Mytilus edulis: one gene and its partner. Each later gene encodes a partner of the first gene's protein in a complex. Links are inferred from orthologs where the notes say so. Each region holds a gene or a part of one and is shown in the gene's direction. Other genes may lie near its edges.

Region 1 (8,201 bases):
TTACGGTGAATGATTTCTGGTTCTGCTGTCAGATAAGGTGGCGTAATGTAATGTTCATGCATCAAAACTTCGCTGTATACATTGAAATTAGGGTGATGCTTGAAAAGTTTCAGAAGTTGATTACGTTCCTTAACAGACCACTTATACATCATGTCTCCAAATGCCCTTAATGGTGCTAAACTGCCAAAGAGACGACCTCCTTTGATCACATGGGAAGATTCATTGGGATGACTTTTTAAAACTCTTCTTACTTCTTTGGAGTTGTAACTTGTGTGTGCATGTGACATTTCTACTGTATTCGTATGGTCTTTATCAACTTCAACTCCTAAAACTGCTTGACAGTCACCCGTGTTAGCAACATACAAATCTATATCATCAACTAATGCAATACAAGCACAAGACCCTGACAAACCATTCTCTAAAGCTTGGTCATTTATGCTCAAGTCATGACCTACTGGCAAGCATTCTGACATGATGTCATGATCAAGACGGAGAAAAGCGTGCCGCAAATGCTCTTCTACTGAGCATTCTTCAAAGTTTGCTAATGTTTCTTTGGCAAATTTAGCCAAGTTATCCTTGTATATTTGATCAAGTTCATGATTGAAGTACTGTGACTGATAAGGGTACCAGTCTACAAGTTTGTCATGTCCCTCGTTGTCACATGCAATGTCTTTCAAAATGTCTTGCGTTGACATTGAGACTGAAATATAGTTAAATAATCGTTCACTGAGAGCTTGAGAACATGCACTACCACCATGTCCATCATAAACACCGAAAATGTACTTGTTTTTATCTCCATGAGTCAACTTTGCTACTGTGTCACGATCTTCAATTGGTTTATTTGCTGGTAATTTATTCACTTCAAAGTTTTTAATAGGACCATCTGCATCCACTGATACTTCATTTATTTTCAATATCGATGAGACTTGTTTTCGAGTCAACAGTGCGACGTCTGAACTTAAATACCCATGCCTCTGTTTAAATTTTAAGAAAAATCTTCTAACGCTTTCAATTTGTCCTTTCGTATGAACTTCTTCAAAAGGTTGTGAAAAAACTTTTTTCTTCAAACCTATATCAATCCTCTTCAGAGGACAAGTTCTTAACATTCTGTTTTGCACGAAACATAAGTCACTCGATCTTGTCCTTTTCGGTTTCGACTGCTTTGCTTGTCAACCTTACTCAAGGGGTTAGTCTCCCTTTAACAGGAGCATGCAGTATAATCACTGATCAGAACTCTAATAAATCTCATTAATTACCGAAAAAGGGTAACACTGGAAGAAGAACAGCACGACCCACTGTAATATTCGCCCTACTTTTTCAACAACTCGTCCCACTTTGTAAAAAATCGCCCTGTCTGGAACCAACTCGCCCAAATTGAGCCGCACTGGCTCGTCTCAGTTATGAAAAACGGTTAAGGTTGGATTGTAAAAATTAGAGAACATAGCAGGTCCTGATTTTCAATCAAGTTAGCAAAATTTGATGCAGGAATGAAGATAACTAATGTGAATGTTCATGTAAAAGAACAAATGTATAAGATTCTAAGATGAAATAGTGCATTTTCTTAAGGAATCTACATGGAATTTTCCTATTTTGTATTTTAGTCGTGGAAAACACACGGGTTTTTTCCGAGTTATGGTATTCTCAAAGCATTTTCTAAAAGCTATCTTATCGTATTTAATTTTACAATTCTATCATTTAGTTTAGCTTCTGAGCATAATGTTTTTCCTGTATACATAATTCATAAATCCCTTCCACAGTTGGAGTAAAACATTCTAAGCCCTACCTTATTTTCTTTTTATATAAATGATTTAACCTCAATGTTTGATAACACATGTGATCCTGTAACATTGCATGACATAAAATTGTCTAGTATGACTTAGTATTAATATCAGAATCTTCAGAATGTTTACAAAATTGTCTTAACAAGTTAAACACTTATTGTGAAAAATGGAACTTGACTGTCAATCTTGACAAGACAAAAACAATGATATTTAATAAAAGTGGTAAAAAACTTACTAAAGACAAGTTTGTATTGAATAATGAAGTAATTGAATGTTGCACAGAATATAAATATTTAGGTATACTATTCAAGCCATCAGGATTTTTCACTAATGCTGCAAATATCCTCTGTAAAAAAGCATTGTTTTGTATTAAAAAAATACTCTACTCAGATAAGATGGATGTTTTTCCCCATATGAAACTGTTTAATTCCTGTGTTAGCCCAATATTACTGTATTGCAGTGAGATATGGTCGCTAAATATTGTGAAGAACAATAAAACTCTTAAATCTCAATACTTATCTATGGAATCAGTAAAACTCCAGATCAAATTTTCAAAAGGTCTTCTAAATGTTAATTCAAAGGCAGTAAATACAGCTGTATTAGCTGAATTGGGAATGTACCCTATTGGTATACAGGCCCTTAAGTCTTCTGTAGGATTTTGGTTACATATTTTAAAGTCAAATGAAAATGAGTCTTTATTATATAATGTTTATAAAGCTAACAAGCAGTTAAATGATGGATTTGCTTCAAAAGTAAAAATCATAGGCGGATCCAGGGGTGGGGGGCTGGGAGGCCCGGGCCCCCCCTTTTCGTGGGAAAAATTTGGTTGCTAATATAGGAAATCACTGAAGCATGACTGGATCCCCCCCCCCCCACCCCTTAGGTCAGTCAGCTGGTCCCCCCTTATGAAAAGTTCTGGATCCGCCACTGAAAATGCTACTTTCAAAATTGAATTTCACTCATGTTTGGGAAAATCAATGTACCTTTTCTAAAAAAAAGATTACTTTTAGCCGTCGTGAGAGAAGCTCAATGAAAATTACATTACATTTTGGAAAAATTGTCTCTTTAATGATGATAATTCAATAAATGGAAATAAACTAAGAACCTACAGAAAATTTAAAGTAAAGTGTGAACTAGAAAAGTACCTTTTATTGAAATAGATAAAAATGTTACAAAAAATTATGCTAAAATAAGAATAAGGAATAGTATACTGGCTATTGAACGCGGTAGATACAACAAAACAGCTTTAGAAAATAGAATATGTCCTTTATGTCATAAAGAGGTGGAAGATGTATTTCATTTTATCATTATGTTCAGAAATTAATAAAACTAGATCAAAATGTTGAATGAAATTTCTAGTATTGTCCCCAGTTTTAATTCAATGAGTGAAGAAAACAAATTTGATTTTATATTTTCCTGCGAAGAATGTGATATTTTACTTATCATTGTTAACTATATAAGTGAAATGTATAATGAGAGAAAAAAATATAATGTCAATATATGATCTGTGTAATTGGTGGCCCAACTTATAATGTTATGACGTTATGCGCTATGTTCGTACATGTAAGCGTAACACAACGTCCCGAATATTTCGTAACGTTCAAACCAAAACTTCGACTAAAACGTTGTTTTTAAGCAAGTGCGACATTCTTGTAAGACTCCGCAAAATCGTCGGTGCTTTTTAACTACTTATTGAAAATTGATGTATTTTAGTTTTTGAAAAATTAAGAAAAATAACATTTTCAAAAATCATAAAATTCTACCATTAAAAGAGCACTGATAAGCAAACAATTGACGTAAATTTGAGGTGAGTTCGTTTTTACGTCAAAAAATGGCAGTGCGACAACCTTGTAAGCCTTTGAAAAATCGCTCATAAATTACCATATATCATTTTTCTGGCCATGATATTTGTCTTTAACTTCATAAAATTAAGCAAATTAACATTGATGTAGTAAAAACAAACACTACACTAACCCATTTCCATTTTAGATAAATGTTTTTTAATTCTCAAATCTGGAATCCAAATTTTTTTCCCCGTGGGACAGGTTTGCCCTTGTAGTATGGATCTTTTTTTCTATTGCGTCATTATAACGTCATAAAGAATGCATAACAAACTGAAGGAACCTTTATGTTAAATAATGGGAAAAAAAACGTTTTTCAAAATATTAAATAGTTTAGACGAAAATCATAGTTTAGTGGTTACAATAAATGAAATATGTTACGCGGGACAGCCTAAAAATAGCCGGTTTTTTTAAATGAAGCTTGTCGCATGCAGCATTAAACATAGTTTCAACAATTATTTTTTTCGTTTTTATTTTAAAAAACATTATTTTTTCAAAAATTCGTACAATAGCAATGAATGTGATATCACAAAACTATATATTTTGGACTTGGATCTTGCCAACTACACCGATTTTCCAATGAGGTACGAACATCGCGCGTGACGTCTATAAATGAAATGTATAATGAGAGAAACAATTATAATGTCAATATGAACTGTGTAATTGATGGCCCAACTTATAATGTTATATATATATATAAGCATAATATTTGAATTGATAATTTGAAAGAGGAGACATGCTGTCAAAAATAGTATTATAGTTAATATTAATAACTTTTTTTTTTCAATGCTACATGTTTGTAGTGTTTAATGCCTAGTTTTGTAATTAATATGCCTGTCTGTCTGTTTCTTTGTTTTTGTTTTTGTTTTGTATTTTAGTAACAATCCTATTGTTTGGATTTTAGACTAATAAAATTCTTATTCTTATTATAAAATGTGTCATTTTGTCAAAACCTGTAGCTTGAGCAAATGCGCTGTGACCTATCATTCTTATCCTATTTTTTTTTTTTAAAACATTTATCAACATGAGACTGATGCTTTATTACTATAGTTTTAACTTTTTGTACTATTTCTATCTAATTCTAATCTGAGAAAAAAACCACATGTGTTACAGAAGTCTCAATAATAAATTATCAATCTTTCATACCAGCCAACTTTTCAAAATGCCCATGGGGGTTTTGCGTGCAAGATGGCTGTCATAGTCCTAAAAAACCATAAACGGGGCCTGCAAATACATTTAAGGTAGTTTTTTGGCTTCTTCATACTTTTATAAGCCTAAAGTTATTGTAAAATTAATTTTTTTGTTTAAATTTTGGACAAAATTGCTCTTTCAAAATTTTAATTTGGGAGCCTCCATGGGGGAAATCCCCCACAAATAGTGACAGTTGACAGGTATGAATTTTCTTTAAATTCTATCTTGAACATGAAGCAATTATGTACGTTTTCGAATATTCGTGTTGGTATTTGTATATTTGGTAATCGGATATTGTTTGAGTGATTCTGGTTATAATCAATACTACTGTTGATTATTGGCTGCATAGTACTACAATTATGTAAAGCAATTTCGACAGAAGAAAATAAATATAAAATGGCACGACTTTTCAGAAATTTTCGCTTTGTATTACAAGTTGTGAACAGCACAACTCAGTCAACTAAGAGATATTTACAGGCGAATGTGACTGACAATGCTCAGAAAGTTGCAGTTGCAGGTATACAGCCATTACATGTGTCAAAAAGACATTGAAAGATACATACACGTTGTTTCATAATGTTCATGGAACTCTTAAAATTAAGATATTAAAAATCATCAATTTAGACAGAATAAGTAGACTGATAGCAATATAGATCTTGTTAAAGAACATGACATGTACATTTACACACCAATATAAATATTTGTTTTGATTTGTATCGTCTCGTATTTCAACGTATTGTGTTTTCGACGATCTTACGTTTTCGACCTAATTCTACTTTCACTTCCTGTATGCAGTTCATGCCCATGTGACGTCATATTCGGCTGCTATTCTTAGTAAGAATAAGAATAGCAAATGATAACATGTGTGGTGAAAATTTTCTTAATAAAGTTATTTTAATTAAGTATTTACGTTTTTTTTTATTTTATATTACATTTTTGTACCCTTTCCCTAATACACCTTATCGCTATTTGTCCGCCATTACTGGATATCACATAGGTTCCTGTAAAATTTTGACGTCAGGCCACAATTAAAAATATTTCAGTTTGCCCAAACCCGACCCATGATGACTGGGTCTGGGTACGTAGGTTGGCAAATTCTTTTTTTTTTTTTTCAGAATTTGCATGAAAATATGAAAAGGTCTTAAAACAGTACATCTTTTTTTTCCGTCAAACCTTTGTAGAGTCAACCAAAAGCCATGAATTTAAAACCTCTATAAATAAATTAGTCTACTTTATATCCTGAGATGTTTATAACCCTGACTGTGTGAAAGGGTTGGTGGATTTATGAAGTGATTTTCAACAGTTACATCAACAAGATGTTTGTGAAAAAAAAATATCAGCTGATGTATGTAATAATTTAATTTGTTTGCAGTTTTTAAATCCTATATCTTTTAAAATAGATTAAATGTCCTAAAATATTTTATATGAATTATTATCTACCATCCATAGTTTCTGTCTTTTTATGTTTTGAAAACAAATTTATATTTTTACATTATCACACAGGTAAACTAATTTGGCTATAAATAGACCAAAACATGTTCTGTAGAATCTCCAAACTAAAAACGTATTTGTTATAATTTTATTTCTTTAAATAATCAAGTTTAAATTTTTGAAAATAATCATTATTGATAAAATATAATTGCATAAAGTTAACAATTTCTGAAGACTATTTATTTTTAGGTCATGGTTCTAGAGGCTTCCTCACAAATTTGTATAAAAATCCAACCATATCATGTGTTTACTTTTGCACATGTGAAAAAAATATTTCTGACAAAAGCCAGATTTTTCTTGTCAAAGGGGATTTATATTGCACTAAATTATTCAGAAAGAGTTACATTCAGTTAAGATTATATTTCTTATTCTGTGAGCAATTATAGTTTAATCAAATTCTCCCAAACAGCAACTTATTGATTTTGTCAACTGAGGCTTGTAAATTTGAACTATTTGAATAAAAGGGCATCTAATTCACATGATAAAGGAAGATTATAATTAAAGACAACAATTTATCAAGAAGTAATCCCTTTTTATTCAATAAATACAAAATCTTCTTGCAAGATTGTAAATTCGCAACTTCCGGATCCATTTCCTGTCAGAGTAACATTGAAAATATTCGATTGCACATGGTTTTGAACAAATCTACCTGAATATTCTTATCAGATCTTCGATTACACGATGAAATTAACATTGAGCATATAGGTAAGGGTTTGGTAGTACAGACAACTACAGCGTAAAACAAAAACTGTGCCACTTCACATTTTTCACTTCTTTACGTTCGTTAAATCAGAAGATAAAAACAGAGAACATGGAAGATCAATTAACTGCGTCTCTTATGCGCTTTCTTTTAATCTCATTCACAGTTACTTTCAAACGCAAAGATAACAAACATTAAGTTTTATACAATGACGGAGCGGACATGAAAAGAATCCGCAAAAAAAAAATCTTCTAAAAAAACGTCAAAAAAAGAATTTGAGTCGGCGGGTTTATTTTGGGTCGGTCGCGTTTGGGCAAACATACAATCTTTTTATTTTGGCCTCATAAAACATAAATATCTGACGCCACAATGGAAAAGTGATTGTTGTATGCGTCTAAAGTTCAAGCGGCTGGGTCAGCCAGGTTTAGCGATAAGGTGTATACCTTCCAAAAGAATCAATCTAAAATAAACATTTAATGAATGTGTATTATATCTAATTCACATGATAAAGGAAGATTATAATTAAAGACAACAATTTATCAAGAAGTAATCCCTTTTTATTCAATAAATACAAAATCTTCTTGCAAGATTGTAAATTCGCAACTTCCGGATCCATTTCCTGTCAGAGTAACATTGAAAATATTCGATTGCACATGGTTTTGAACAAATCTACCTGAATATTCTTATCAGATCTTCGATTACACGATGAAATTAACATTGAGCATATAGGTAAGGGTTTGGTAGTACAGACAACTACAGCGTAAAACAAAAACTGTGCCACTTCACATTTTTCACTTCTTTACGTTCGTTAAATCAGAAGATAAAAACAGAGAACATGGAAGATCAATTAACTGCGTCTCTTATGCGCTTTCTTTTAATCTCATTCACAGTTACTTTCAAACGCAAAGATAACAAACATTAAGTTTTATACAATGACGGAGCGGACATGAAAAGAATCCGCAAAAAAAAAATCTTCTAAAAAAACGTCAAAAAAAGAATTTGAGTCGGCGGGTTTATTTTGGGTCGGTCGCGTTTGGGCAAACATACAATCTTTTTATTTTGGCCTCATAAAACATAAATATCTGACGCCACAATGGAAAAGTGATTGTTGTATGCGTCTAAAGTTCAAGCGGCTGGGTCAGCCGGGTTTAGCGATAAGGTGTATACCTTCCAAAAGAATCAATCTAAAATAAACAA
Region 2 (7,478 bases), on another chromosome or scaffold:
ATCACAATAATTTAAACTTGCATTTTGAAATATTTTATATACATGTAAATAAAAATGGATATTTCTCAATATCGCAATAAGGCCTAAAAAAAAAAGATATGTGTTTCCGGTAACATCATTTTGAAAAATAGGGTCGGTAGGTCGGAATTCTTTTTTTTTTTTTTTTTTTTTTTTTTTTGACATCGTAAATGAAATCCGGAAAATTTTCATGTTTTTTCCAAGTCCGGATCCGTAATTAGTTTCAAAAACCGGAAGTGTGCCATTTGCAATGTTTTTGAAGCACCTGCTGTGCAAATTTCTTGGATTTTAACCTATTTGGAATACCTTTTGACATTAATAAAATGTTTTACTGGCTTTCTATGCAAGAGGAAGCAAGAGAGAAAAAATATTATGTCATCTATCAGAAGCCTGTGTCAAAAACAGGGTCGGTTGATAAATTTTTTTTTTATTTTTTTTGAAGATCCAATAAAAAAGTTAGGGTCGGGGCTAAAAAAACAGGGTCGGTCGGGTTACCGGAAACACGGATCTTTTTTTTCTCGGCCTAATTTAAATCGCATTTGAATCTTATATGACAAAATCACAATAATTAGTGCACTTGATCATTTCTGAATTTACAGTAATTTTATTTACGTTTTAGAAATTTATTTATGTTTGTATTAAATAAATCAGAATTTGATCATATTCGATTAGTTTATTCCTGGTAATATTTATTTCTAATCACAATCTTAGAAGAGCTTATTTGTACATTGTATTGGGTTAGCAAAAACCTGGGTTTTATGAGTATTGCCTAGCACAGTGGGAAACATAGTGTAAAAGCTCAAGTCAGAATTGATTTTAGTACAGACTGCATTGTTGTGGGAATAAACATGTAATTGTAACAAGTTTGATATTCCCTTTCTTTTACAAGTCAATTTAGTCTTAGTCTAAGATGAATGAACTTGGCCTTTGGTCATCATGACAATATCATATTCATGACTATAATTCACAAAATACTAAAGAAAAACAGTATACATTTTTGCTGTTTACAGTTTATCTTTATCTATAATAATATTCAAGATAATGACCAAAAACTGCAAAATTTCCTTAAAATTACCAATTAAGTGGCAGCAACCCAACAATGGGTTGTTTGATTCATCTGAAAATTTCAGGGCTGATAGATCTTGACCTAATGAACATCTTACCCCATGTCAGATTTGCTCTAAATGCTTGGTTTTTGAGTTATAAGCCAAAAACTGTATTTGACCCCTATGTTTTATTTTTAGCAATGGCGACCATGTTTGTTGATAGATCAAAACTTCGGGTACAATTTATAAACTAGATACCCTAAGGAACATTCAGTTAAAGTTTGGAAGTATTTGGCCTAGTAGTTTCAGAGGAGAAGATTCTTGAAATAGTTTACGACGACAGACGATAGACGCCAAGTGATGGCATAAGCTAACTTGGCCCTTCGGCCCATGTGAGCTAAAAATCAAGCTTATTTCAAGTCTAATTTGATGCATAACTCACAAAAAAACAATTCCTGTTTACCAATTCGTACCAATCATCAAACATGAAAAGATATGTTAATGACTTGGGAAATAAAATTTAATGAATAACAAGAATGTGTCCATAGTACACGGATGCCCCACTCGCACTATCATTTTCTATGTTCAGTGGACCATGAAATTGGGGTCAAAACTATAATTTGGCATTAAAATTAGAAAGATCATATCATGGGGAACATGTGTATCAAGTTTCAAGTTGATTGGACTTCAGCTTCATCAAAAACTACCTCGACCAAAAACTTTAACCTGAAGCGAACGGACGCACAGACGGACGAACGAACAGAGGCACAGACCAGAAAACATAATGCCCCTCTACTATCGTAGGTGGGGCATAAAAATTTTCAATAGCAATGAACATTATTCAGTTATGTTCAGTTGCACCTGGATCATGCAGCTTGGTCAATTAATTCGTAAACAAAAGATTTGCATGTTTTTTCGAGTTCTAGAAAAAACAAGGCTTCACTTTTATGTTTTGTTGTTCCTAGAATACTTTTAGTATTTACAAATTCAACTGATGCAGTTATAACGTAAAACGTGCCCTTTTGTAAATTTCATGCCATAAATTGAAAAATAAAAACACATTTAAACTGGTTTTGTTTACACAAGAGGTGAAAGCAGAGAAATCATGTATCCAACATTTTCTGACTTGTGCCCAACCTGTTCAAAGTCAAAGACAAAATAGATTGATTTTAAAGCACGATTCAGACCATTTTTACTCAAAGATTTTATCCTTTAAACAGGAACAGAGGTAAAACACAAAGCCAATCAAGGTGCACTCAGTGGGTTGAAAGATGCTTCAGATATTTCATTTTTGGTCTAGGGTGCGTAAGAAAAAGAGTGGAACGTAATTTTGAGGCAATGAGAGCTGACTAGATTTTGAGCGAACAGACACAGATTCATGAACACATGTCAGTTAACTGCTAGTAGTCTGTTGTTATTTATGTATTATTGTCATTTTGTTTATTTTCTTTGGTTACATCTTCTGACATCAGACTCGGACTTCTCTTGAACTGAATTTTAATGTGCGTATTGTTATGTGTTTACTTTTCTGCATTGGCTAGAGGTATAGGGGGAGGGTTGAGATCTCACAAACATGTTTAACCCCGCCACATTTTTGCGCCTGTCCCAAGTCAGGAGCCTCTGGCCTTTGTTAGTCTTGTATCATTTTAGGTCTTAGTTTCTTGTGTACAATTTGGAGTTTAGTATGGTGTTCATTATCACTGAACCAGTATATATTTGTTTAGGGGCCAGCTGAAGGACGCCTCCGGGTGCGAGAATTTCTTGTTGCATTGAAGACCTGTTGGTGACTTTCTGCTGTTGTCTGCTCTATGGTCGGGTTGTTGTCTCTTTGGCACATTCCCCATTTCCATTCTCAATTTTATTGTTCACCCTGATTCAGGCTCGTCCTAGTACCTGTTCACCAAAATAAATGTACCGGTTTGCCCAGGTTTCATTTGCTCTTTTTTTTTTTACTGTTGTCTAGTTGCATATTAATGTTTATTATTGGAACAGAATATATTGGAGTTTTTTTGAAAATTTGCCAAATATTGGAATTGCTGCAACCAAATAATTTAATTACAGTGATCAGTGAGAACTATTATTATGACATATTAATGCGCCAAAACAAGCCAACTTTTAGTTATTTCCATGTGTTTTGTGAATTTTCAAGAATTCATACCATATAAAAATCTGAATAAGGTTTATTTAACTGTAATACCCATAATATTAATATTTCATTAATAAAAGTAGTGAGAAGGAATCCAGCGCGAGCAGACTTTATAATGGTAGTATTGGGGGTACTTTCATGACGTATAACCATAAAAATTCTTGCCAAATGACATTAACGGTCATTTTTAGTGCATGACAATAAAATGTACACTTTCTTTAAGACGAAATGATTTTGATGAACGAAGTTAATTTTTTTCCAAAATAACAGTAATGATAATTATTTGAGACCTTTGACGAATCACAGTAAAATTTTACCAATTTGACGCTAATGGTAGCCGAAAATAACTGTTTGACGCCCGACGTAAAAGGGCATTACCACCCTCCTCTAGAGGTGAATGAACTCATTGCGATCAGTTTCAGGGCGAACATGTTTAATCTGGGTGAACGGACCTGTCAACCAGTTTCGTACACTAGGGACAACTCAGACAAGTCATTCATGTTCATTTATCATTCTAAGAAAAAAATATTTATACATGTTCATGTAAGAAGCTTTTAATTACAGGATCTCAAGACTTTTTTTCAAATACATGTAGCCTACCTGCATTTGCGGAATCCCTAATTCAACATTTGCTGTTTGTCTTAATTGAGACCACAACTTCAAAGCTTCTATCTGAATTCTTATTCCACCTAAAATTTTAGGGTCAACTGGTTCTTGCCTTGTGTCAGAGAAATATCCACCAGCAGAGAATAGTGCTTTGAAAGCCTCCTGTTCAAGTTTATCATTATAATTGTACACATCACGTTTTTTAGTACTATCAGATCTGACAAACGTCAAATTGGCTGTTATAAAAATACAAAGACAAACTAAAATTCTATTTTGATTACAGGTCGCCATGTTGAAAAAGATCTTGTTGACCTTTCAACAGACTATTTGAATGGTCATCTGTCAACATTTCTGAAATCCAAACAGATTCTTATTACACTCGTCCTTTGGAAAATTCACTTAAGTTTCATATCCATAACTAAACAGCACTAAATTCCCTAGCATAATGCAAAATATCAATAAAGTGTATTGGAGTGTATCGCTTTTTTTGTCATCACCAATCTTGCATGCTAATATGTAAAGCTACAGCAATACACAAAACAGCCGGAAGTTTCGTAAAATCCGAAAATAAGTGAAAAAATAGAAACTAGTTGTCCAATATGTCAGCCCCCATGTTGCAGTTTTTTTCTAAAAGATTTTGTAGCAAATGCTTCAAGATCGCGCAATCTCAAAGAGTTCCTTCAATATTTAAATTAACAGAACAGACAAAAATGACAACCACTCCAAAAATTTCGAGACATTTTCATGTCAGTGCAGGTAAATTAAGCTCTGAGTGTTGCATAATCATGTTATCAAGGCAGTTTTTACTTTTTAAGATAAGTAATTACAGGCGATGCTCAAGACGTTTCGTCCACATGCTGTATCGGTAATATCTTTTCCAGTTTGGCCAAACTTTGTAAAGTCGTTTCAGTCATTTTTGACTTGTTATAAAGCCTCATATTTATTTAGAAATGAGAAATAGGATTGTTTTTACATTAAGAAATAATATGAGGGGGTGAAGTCTGTATCGATTATCTATTTAATTCAAACATATTTTAATGTTACAAAAGAACCAGATTCCTACCAAAATTGGAAGGAGGCTTGTTTATGATCATAAGATAGTTATTCTTCTTGGAAACATAACATTCCCTCTGTGTTTATAGTTTTCAAAATATGATTAACAGCAAGAGTAGCCGAGACACTGGGTTCTGCGGAACTGTTTAATGCTAATTTATACTTATATACCATCTTTTAAAACTCATAAGAACAATATGAAAAAGTATGGTCTAATCGACTGTGTCTGAAACGTCTGTGGACAAACTGGTCATGTGACAGAAACGTCTTACAAGTATTACAAGAAGTGTTTAAACTTATAAAGGTGGAATTTACAGTTCAGATAACAGGAACTACTTATAGACAAAACAACTATATGACCTTTGCATGCTATTTTTGTTGTTGCTGTGACGACTTCCTACAATGAAAAGTGATGCAGCATAAAATTAAACATGCCTGCAGGACATCATAATTTTTTGGAATAGTCCTAAAAAAGTGAATTCAAAAAATTAAATTCAAAAACTTAGATGGGTACTTCCATGAGAAAATGGGTACAGCCAGGACCTGGAAGTACCCATTTTCTCAAAGCTCTAAGTTTTTGAATTTTATTTTTTTAATTCACTTTTTTAGAGGGTCCAAATTGAATTATAAAATATAACAACTGAAGATGCAATGTAAAATAAAAATGCAACAAGATTGAGAATTAAAAAAAAAATAACAACTACTAAACAACATCTGAACATACATTGTATGAAGTATGATTTTATGTGAAATAAAACGTTTAATCATTTATATAGTTTAATTTTCTATTCAAATAAACAAAATATGTATTCTCTTATGATTATGATAGGCAAATAAAAATTACAACTATAACATAAAATATATATTTAAAAAATGCATCAAATTAATATATGTTTTGTTGTATACATTTTGTAGCTTTAAAGATGGAGTTTGAACTACAACATAATGACATGTACACTGTATAGAATTGTGTTTGTTTTTGTTTTTTCCTCCTTAATAATTAAACATCCACAAATTTGTGTAGCCTTAAACTAATCTGTGTAAAAAGAGCAGTTAAAAATTTTATGATATTTATTAAAGGTCCATTACGTCATGGGGATTATGAATATAAAGATCCAAAATCAGAAGATGAAGTGTAAGTACATATTATACATATAGGACATATACAATATTCACATTAGACATACAACAGCTAGGTGATTGCATAAGCAAAAATGTTCATTTATATAAAAGCATCAATGCACACACAAGTGAAGCACTAAACTAGATTAATGCAAGAATATTATAATATAAACAACAATGAGTAAAAGAAGATTTTGGGGAACATTTTGACAAACAAATTGAGACAGCAAACCTTAAAACAGGACTCTGAACCGTGATGGTACTCCAAACTGTGATGGTTACACTAAGGTGCGATGGTCTGAAGCTGAAGTACGTTTTTGATTACGCTGAAGTGTGATGGTGGCTTTGTGACGCTATCTTGTTGATAGCTATGCCAAAGTGCGATGGTGATAATATTATAAACTTAATTTTCCATGCTTTTCATGTCAATTTGTATGTTAGAAGCAGTTTTCTGGGTTATAAAGTTTATTAGGGGCTTGTAAACTTTAAAAACTGTACTAGAGAAATTGCGAAGATTGGTAAATAGCCTTAATAGGGGAAAGTTGACCTTCTGTAGCAAACTTTTTTTTCAAAATCTACAAACAGCTCCTTTTTACTTACAATGACATTCTCTTACAATGTACAGGTTTGCATACAGACAATCTGTATAATAATATTACGGTAATCCAATAACTCATGCAAGGAACCAAGTAAAGATAAAATGTTAATGCAGAATTATATGGACATGCAGAAAATCAAAGAGAACGATCTCTTATTTAATATGCAACTGTTATTTAGGACAGTCATAGACAAAATGAATGTAAATTCATATACATGTACTAGCTATTTAAACATATACATGCTTCTCATAACAATTGCACATCTATAGCTTTTAAAATAGAAATCATGCATCAAATAGACCATCGCACATCAGCGAACAGACCATCACACTTTGGATTAGACACAGTTCAGCATGACCATCGCACTTCAGCGTCCCCATGGCACATCTGAGTCTAACACATATATAAAACAAAACAAAAACATTTGATATTTAACCTTTCGTTTCTTGAAAACTCAACCAGAGCAAAAAGCAGGGGATTTCAAAAAAGTAATTTCCTTCATCATAATTTTCACACAAATTATATTAATGTGTACAAATTAATCAACCTATGAAAAGTTTAATCAGAAAAAAGTTAATAAATTTAAAAAAAAAAGGATTTAAAATGCAACTGGTGAGCTACATCATTTTACTTTTTTTTTTTAGAGTAAATATTACTTATATAGATAGAAATGGAGTTAAAAAACCTGTCAGAGGAAAAGTTGGTGATAATCTGATGTATTTAGCTCATAGATACGACATAGAGTTGGAAGGTAAATAAAACTTATCATAATACTTCTATTTTACCATTGTATTGTTTTGTTAGGAATGGTGTTGGAACAGTTGGATCATTTGAGTTATCAGGATATGGTATTTTTGTTTTCTGAACTCAAATCTTGGTTATATATGT

What was found.
Region 2: the proteins of cysteine desulfurase-like (region 1) and adrenodoxin-like protein 1, mitochondrial are in contact, whole or in part, in a cryo-EM structure (PDB 8RMC), measured with the Homo sapiens proteins. The link is inferred for Mytilus edulis from reciprocal best matches to the Homo sapiens genes NFS1 and FDX2. Residues at the interface, in NP_066923.3 of Homo sapiens: Gln153, Lys157, Leu160, Asp161, Arg164, Ala168, Tyr175, Ala384, Ser385, Leu386, Glu387, Pro388, Tyr390, Arg393, Gln456, His457; in NP_001384335.1 of Homo sapiens: Ala104, Cys105, Glu106, Ala110, Cys111, Pro141, Leu142, Ile169, Thr170, Arg171, Asn172, Phe173, Tyr174, Val175, Asp176, His178, Lys181.

The regions. Positions count from the first base shown.
Region 1 is NC_092348.1:85,717,164-85,725,364, reverse strand, and holds the start of cysteine desulfurase-like, read left to right. Parts: upstream 1-5,153; 5' UTR 5,154-5,209; coding exon 5,210-5,330; intron 5,331-8,201. Other genes in the region: pyruvate dehydrogenase [acetyl-transferring]-phosphatase 1, mitochondrial-like, read right to left, coding at 1-1,106.
Region 2 is NC_092344.1:18,534,942-18,542,419, reverse strand, and holds the start of adrenodoxin-like protein 1, mitochondrial, read left to right. Parts: upstream 1-4,397; 5' UTR 4,398-4,415; coding exon 4,416-4,572; intron 4,573-5,949; coding exon 5,950-6,004; intron 6,005-7,234; coding exon 7,235-7,341; intron 7,342-7,478. Other genes in the region: VWFA and cache domain-containing protein 1-like, read right to left, coding at 3,811-4,107. UniProt on the Homo sapiens protein: Electron donor, of the core iron-sulfur cluster (ISC) assembly complex, that acts to reduce the persulfide into sulfide during [2Fe-2S] clusters assembly on the scaffolding protein ISCU.